Linked DNA regions of Lepisosteus oculatus. The protein of the gene in region 1 interacts with the protein of each later gene in a biochemical or structural test. Links are inferred from orthologs where the notes say so. Each region holds a gene or a part of one and is shown on either strand. Other genes may lie near its edges.

Region 1 (3,746 bases):
CATGTGGAGATCTGTAGTCAGAACAGGTTTCCCCCTGGGGTGGTGGGCTGGGGCGGACGGGGCAGGGCGGCGGCGGCGGCGCCCCCCTGTGGGCGCTCACTCACCTCACGGATGGCGTCCTTGGACAGCGCCCCCGGCAGGTCCTGCTTGTTGGCGAAAACCAGGAGGGTGGCTCCGGCCAGGCGCTGCCCCCGGAGAGAGAGGGAAACCGATGTGAACACGGGGAGAACGTGCAAACTCCACACAGACAGCGCCCCAGGAATCGAACCCAGAGCCCCAGAGCTTTTGAGGCGGCGATGCGCTGGGCCCTGTGCCGCAGTGCTGAACCGTATCTCCCGCAGTGGCGAGGCTCCGGGCTCAGGCCTGCAGTGGGCAGCAGGAGAGCAGTGGGCGTGTAGCGAGCGAGCAGTGTGCTCGTACCTCCTCCAGGAGCAGGGAGCTGAGCTCCTGCCGGCAGTCCTCCAGTCTGAGGCGGTCAGCACTGTCCACCACCCAGATCAGCCCGTCGGTGCTCTCGAAGTAATTCCTCCAGTAGGAGCGCAGGGACTTCTGCCCTCCCACATCCCAGATGTTCAGCTTGTACCTGCGGGGAGGGCGGAGGTGGTGGGAGACTTGGAGTGTCCCCTTACTCTGACCTGCCCCAACTCTCTCTGAACCCCCCCTCGCTCTCTGAACCCCCCCTCGCTCTCTCCGAACCCCCCTTCAATCTCTCTGAACCCCCCCTCTCTATATCTCTCTAACCCCCCTCCCTCTCTCTCCGAACCCCCCCTCAATCTCTCTGAACCCCCCCTCTATATATCTCTCTAACCCCTTCTCTCTCTCTCTGAACCCCCTTCAATCTCTCTGAACCCCCTTTCAATCTCTCTGAACCCCCCCTCGCTCTCTCCGAACCCCCCTTCAATCTCTCTGAACCCCTCCCTCTCTCTCCGAACCCCCCTTCAATCTCTCTGAACCCCCTTCTCTATATCTCTCTAACCCCCTCCATCTCTCTCCGAACCCCCCTTCAATCTCTCTGAACCCCCCTCGCTCTCTCCGAACCCCCCTTCAATCTCTCTGAACCCCCCTCCCTCTCTCTCTGAACCCCCCTTCAATCTCTCTCTGAACCCCCCCTTGCTCGCGCTGAACCCCCCTCGCTCGCTCTGAACCCCCCTCCCTCTCTCTCTGAGCCCCTCTCCCTCTCTCTCTGAGCCCCCCTTCAATCTCTCTGAACCCCCCTCCCTCTCTCTCTGAGCCCCTCTCCCTCTCTCTCTGAGCCCCTCTCCCTCTCTCTCTGAGCCCCCCTTCAATCTCTCTGGACCCCCCCTCGCTCGCTCTGAACCCCCCTCAAGCTCTCTGAACCCCCCTCCCTCTCTCTCCGAACCCCCCTCAATCTCTCTGAACCCCCCTCAATCTCTCTGAACCCCCCCTCAATCTCTCTGAACCCCCCTCTCTATATCTCTCTAACCCCCCTCCCTCTCTCTCTGAACCCCCCTCAATCTCTCTGAACCCCCCTTCAATCTCTCTGAACCCCCCTCCCTCTCTCTCTGAACCCCCCTTCAATCTCTCTGAACCCCCCTCTCTATATCTCTCTAACCCCCCTCCCTCTCTCTCTGAACCCCCCTCAATCTCTCTGAACCCCCCTCTCTATATCTCTCTAACCCCCCCCCGCTCACCCCCGGTGCTCCAGGGTCTTGATGTTGAACCCCAGGGTGGGCGAGACGGTGCTCACGTCCTCCCCGTTGAACTTCTTCAGGATGGTGGTCTTGCCCGCGTTGTCCAGGCCCCTGGGGGAACGCCTGCGTCAAGGAAACACGCTCCAGCTCCTCTGACGCCCCTGGTCTGTCCCAGGACCCCCCCCGGGCGGACAGACCGACTCCCGCGGGCCAGTGTCATCGTCCTGATGAGGACGACGATGACGGCGGGGGTGTTAGTGAAGACCGGGCGGGTGGAGACAGACAGATGTCCACACAGCTGGGGGGAAACCGCGGGTCCATCCGTCCAGGCCCTGACCGCTGTATCCAGGGAGCCGGAGCCTATCCCAGCAGGCAACGGGAGCAAGGCAGGACACCAGTCCATCGCGGGACACCAGTCCATCGCGGGACACACACTCACACCAGGGCCTGTTTTCCCAGAAGCCCACCAGCCCGTCTTTGGGCTGTGGGAGGAAACAGGAGTACCTGGAGGAAGCCCATGTGTGTGTGTGTGTGTGTGTGTGTGTGTGTGTGGGGGGGGAGAACATGCAAACTCCACACAGACAGCACCCCAGGAATCGAACCCTGGGCCCCCTCAGTGCTGAACCGCAGAAGCACGCACGTACAGGAGGACCTGACACACAGAGGGCCAGAGACGGACACGCCAGCACAGCAGATCCGCGACGGGCTTCCGTGTCGCCGAGAGAACCGAAGACCGAGGGAGAAGAGTCGCCCGGTCATCTCTTCCGAAAAATAACTTGCACACAAGGGCAAGCACAGAACGACTGCGTGTGTGTGTGTGTGTGCGCGATGATGTCAGGAGAAGACGTTCATTCCAGATGAGCTCTCGAGTACTCAGGGCAACTGCCGCGATTTTCGGGGAACCCCTTAAACAGCTGAGCTATCCAGTGGGGACACCCTCCCCCACAAATCTCCTGACCTCCGCCGGTATTGCAAAGGATACAGCATGAGCAAGCGCATCTCCCTCTCCTTCTGTTTCATCTTCTTCAGGATCGTCAGCAAACCCATTAAGTAAACGAATTGAACACCAGCCCCGGCTCTCTCGGTCTCCCCGCAACGCAACCAGACCAGACCAGGAAGAGGGCGCTCCCCCGGGCCCCGCCCCCACACGGCTCCTATTGGTTGATTCTGAGTCGCGGCCCGCGGGAAGGAGCTCTCTGGTTGGCCCATCAGTCACGTTGACGTCCCCCTCCCTCCCTCCCTTCTTTGGCTTCTCTGCTGGAAGAGGGATGTCCGGGGCGCGAGGAGGTTCTCGTCGGCATTTCTCACAGCGCCGCCGTGCGGGCGCTACAGGAACAGACCACGAATGGCCGTTTAACCTGTAATTGTAGTCCCAGCGCCAAAGGGGAAAAGGACTATTGTCGTACAAAACACAAATTACTTCCCCACGATGTTTTTGCGTTGCATGTGGCGTCACCATGGTCGTACTGTTCGGGGTTCGTTTGTCATACAAAAAAAACCAAGCCTGGGGTTTTTTTTTTCTTTCAAAACAGACGCTGAAACGCTGTTCAGCTCCGGTCGTCGCTCTATAGAAATTCTATGTCTATAGGAACAAGTAATCTTCCGGGCTGAAAAGAGAAGAAGGAAAACACAACGTTTCGGCCGCGGAGCCTTCTTCAGGTGCGAGAAAGATAAGAGAAGATCACTGTATCGGCCCTATACGATTTCTTGCATGAGGAATTTGTCTTTTCGCAGACCCCAGCTTGCTCTCCGTGAGACACACAGACAGGGAGAGAGAAGCTGGGGGTCAGAGCACAGGGTCGGCCATTTACATGGCCCCCTGGAGCAGCTGGGGTGAAGGGGCCTCGCTCAGGGGCCCAGCGGAGTAGGATTCCTCTGCCGGCCACGGGATTCGAACCGGCAACCTCCCAGCCACAGGCGCAGATGCTGAGCCAGAGAGCGAACGCACTGCCACCACGGAGAGGGCAGTCCAATATACAGTATGTTCTCTGTATTTGTAGCCCAAATATACTGATGGGGAAAAAGAAACACACCACCTCCTCCTCCTCCACACTCCGGCCCTCCCGTCTGCGTGGGACAGGCTGAGGAGTGACC
Region 2 (3,746 bases), on another chromosome or scaffold:
CTGGGTGGGGGGGGGTTAAACAGACGGCCCCCGCAGAGCCCGCGCTGGGCACTGCCAAAGCAGACCAAAAGCAATCGCTCAGAAACAGGCCGGAATAAAACCGGCGGCTGTGCGTTGTGTAACATCTTCCGCGGTTCTTAAAATAGCCAGGGCCCGCCTTTCTCGATCCATGCGACCACCTGTTGCCTACCCAGGGTCAGGTCAGTCACAGAGCGGCCCGGCGCCGCTCGGGATGCGACACTCGCGGTTCTGCGTGTGCGCACCTGCACACGCGTCATGTCACTCGTTACCGCTGTTGGGACACTGTGGCTCAGTCTCCGCAGAAACATGCACAGTTCATGCACACTCACGCAGCGGGAGAGAGAGAGACTGCGGGATGAGACTATGGGAGAAAGATAACGAGTGACTAATCCCTTATTGCCGGCAGGCATTTTCCTTCCAGTGGCAGACCCGGTGTGAATGTGGCAACGTATTCGCTGTCTGTCTCACCCCTGTCCGCTTGGGAACACATTTGTTTTATTTCCAGGATTATATCTTCTATTATTTTATTAACATATCCACATATTCTGAAGTCAATCCTAAGTATTTAAGGTCGAGGAACGGTCGGAAAACCTTTGCGTTTTCTGTAATGGAAAATTACATAAGGCTCTCTGTCTCCCTTTCCAGCCCACTGTATCGCAGAAGGCTGCGAGTCCAGTGTCGGGAAGCCGCTTATAACATGTCCATTACAGATCCGTCTTAAAACCTGGCAGCCTTTTTCCCGTCCGTGTTAACACACACTCTTGCGCTCCCTGAAATATCAGGGGTTTGGAAAGACATTTAACGTGAAAACCAACATCAGGAACCGGGCAGCGGTATAAGATCAGTTTCTGCTTGCGTTTAATGATAACGCTATAGCGGATCAAGAGGAAATGGCTGGGAACACACTGTATGAGCGAGCTCTCGCCGTGTTTGTGAGCTGTCGCTCAACAGCGGTCTGTACTTCAGCCTCTCAGGTAAATGAGGGCTGTGAAAGAGGTTTCGCCCCTTCACAATCATACCCGTCGGCTGTAATGCACGGGGGAGACCTACTGGGAAACAGATTGTCAAGCTGTACATGAGATACGGAGCTCCGAGATGCTAACAACCACCAAACCGGGGGTAGCGTTTATAACAGCAACTGTGCTCCTCATCCTGGTTATCGCGCTGCTAAGGTGTAGCGGTTTCAAGTGGGGGTGCCAAGGTTGTTTCTATATCGGGGCTGAACTCCTACTGCACTCCTCTTTAAAGCGCACATTTATGCCAAACTAACCAGGTCTTCCCTGAACAGAAAACTACCGATCTGCGGTGAAACTCCGACCCCTGACGGGCTGTATTTGATCCGTTCAGACAGGAAACAACGGGTGCAGATGAGAGTTTCCACGCCACGGAAGAGCCGAGCAGCGACGTCGCAGACTCTAGCTACCCCGTCGGTATCGCCCCAATGTGGCACCTAGGAAATACGGTCCCCGTCCGCCCTTCGGGTGCCGAACATTACCGGAGCGAGATACCGCGCACACGGGCATCCTTTAAGACCGGACGCCGCGACAGCGATGACGATAACTGCAATAACCGACGCCACTTACTTTCGGTGATCTTCTGCAACCCCAGCACATCCTCGGGGGTGATCACGGGTTTCCTGAGCAGTTCCTCCTCCGTGGTGACCGGGACCCCTGTTTCGGTGGAGTTACAGCCTTTCTTCACTCTCATTGCCACGAGTGGTTTGGGGGTCGGGGTGTCCTGGGTCTGGTGGTCGCTGCTCTCCGCGCTTCTGCCGCTGCCACCGCTGGGATTATTGCTTTTACTAGTGCCAGACCTCTGAGCGCTGCTGCTGGATGAGTCCTGGCTATTGCAGACAGCCTCTGTGCCGATACAAGAATAGCTCATTCTCCTCCTCCCCCCCACTAGTAAAGATACAAAACACTCTCCCCCCTCTCTCTCCCTCGCTCGCTCGCTCGCTCGCTCCCGTCAGTCGCTTCGCTGCTAGTGCGCCCGCTCGGTATTTTATTTAAATCCCCCTGTTCTACAGATCCTTTCCGTTTTCGGCCAGCGACTGCCCAGAGCATCCGCCGCCCGCGCCAGACTGCGCCTGTGCCGGCTCTGTGTTGAGCGCTAGCTCGCCGAGCGCCACTCTCTCCGGCCGAGACGCAAAGGAAGCGGTCTCTCCGCAACACAGACACTGACGGACGCGCACACGCCACAGACATGCACACGCTCTTGTACACAGTGGGGTCCCACTTAGTTTCCCCGGCTTTCGGAAAGGGAGAAGCCTTTATTTCTGGTGTCACAACGGCGGTAGCGCCAGCGGCCGGAGCGACCGGCGCACGTCTGGGGCGGCGAACGACAGATTCTGCAGCCAGACTCAGACGTGTTTGTCGCCATTCACGCCTGGATAATCGTGAAATGTATCTGCCTCTGTACCGAAACCTCCCCTCTCAGACTTGTGGTATGGCCCATTTTTCTGCGTTGGCAGGAAGCTGAGGAGAAGTTGTCGTTTTTTTTTTCTTCGCTCAGTGGGTTTGGGTAGCGATGTACCCGTGTCTCAGAGCTTGGCTTTGAACGTTTCCACGGGCACGCAGTTTGCAGTAATCTGCTCAAGACGTCGCCCTATTTATTATGAGGATTACGACCAAAATATTGAATAGAAATGTGTTACGTAGTTAACATCCACCATTTATTTATTACAGCTACACCACACAGCCCTTGTGAATAGCATTTCATGCCCCCCATACAGTATATATTCAGGAAGTGCAAAAGTCGGGACAATAAAATATCGCAGGAAACAAGTGGGCTAATCTACTTTTAATTTTCAAAGTGTAGCCCAAGATAAGTCACTGAAATGTGGTGTTTCTGCGCTACAGCCTTCGCTCCCCGTCTCCGGCGCTGAGGAGCTCTGAGGATCTCGCTGAACTTCTGGATAAATCCGTGTGATGAGTCCGAAACGAACAGAATGTCAGTGCAGGCGGCGGCGGCGGCGGCGCTGAAGTTCAGACATGACACCCGCCGCAGTAACGCCCGGATTTGAGCGACGACCAGCCGCCTCGATACAATCCCCGCCTGCCGTCATCCCAGCCGCCGGAGCTGTCCTGCCTGGCGAAGCACCTCGAAACCGCGAGTGTCGATGTGATCAATTCCAGCAATGACAAAGACGATCTCCCCTGCGCTTAACATCCGCTTAAGGTGGATGCTGGTGGTGGTGGAGGGGATCCCCATTACCTGTAAAGCGCTTTGAGTGGAGTGTCCAGAAAAGCGCTATATAAGTGTCAGCAATTATTATTATAATTAACATGCTGTCTCTCAGTCTGGTGGTGTGTTTCAGGGAGAAGCCCAGAATGTCGGATGCGCCCCTCGCTGCTGGCTCCTGTAGGAAGCCCCCCTGCGCTGTGCTCTCTCGGATCCCGTGAGTACCGCGGTGGGCGGCGACGCTCAAGAGACACGGCGCTGCCATACTTCGCCGAGACCGCGCTCGCTGTCGGTGTTGCGCGGGGAAAACTTCGGTTGTTGTTGTTTGTTTGTTTTTCGGGGAAACATTCAGGGCTCGTTCAGAAACCAGACTCAAGATGTGTCGTTAAAAGACTGTCCACATTTATTCAGGAATAGGATACACAAATTAAATGCAGTTGGCAGTGAGGGGGGTGGGGGACGCGAACGGGTGAATAAAATAATAAAAGCAGAAATAAAATCTAAGCGCAGGAGTCTCTGGCTGCGACATGCAGTAGCGTCGAGGT

What was found.
Region 2: the proteins of arl2 (region 1) and unc119a1 form a complex in vitro, tested with the Homo sapiens proteins (2 studies listed by BioGRID and IntAct, with this or other methods). The link is inferred for Lepisosteus oculatus from reciprocal best matches to the Homo sapiens genes ARL2 and UNC119.

What each region holds. Positions count from the first base shown.
Region 1 is NC_090713.1:21,450,091-21,453,836, forward strand, and holds the start of arl2 (ADP-ribosylation factor-like protein 2), read right to left. Parts: upstream 2,795-3,746; 5' UTR 2,700-2,794; coding exon 2,635-2,699; intron 1,764-2,634; coding exon 1,653-1,763; intron 584-1,652; coding exon 421-583; intron 186-420; coding exon 105-185; intron 1-104. UniProt on the Homo sapiens protein: Small GTP-binding protein which cycles between an inactive GDP-bound and an active GTP-bound form, and the rate of cycling is regulated by guanine nucleotide exchange factors (GEF) and GTPase-activating proteins (GAP).
Region 2 is NC_090721.1:8,824,577-8,828,322, forward strand, and holds the start of unc119a1 (protein unc-119 homolog A), read right to left. Parts: upstream 2,206-3,746; 5' UTR 1,906-2,205; coding exon 1,605-1,905; intron 1-1,604. UniProt on the Homo sapiens protein: Involved in synaptic functions in photoreceptor cells, the signal transduction in immune cells as a Src family kinase activator, endosome recycling, the uptake of bacteria and endocytosis, protein trafficking in sensory neurons and as lipid-binding chaperone with specificity for a diverse subset of myristoylated proteins.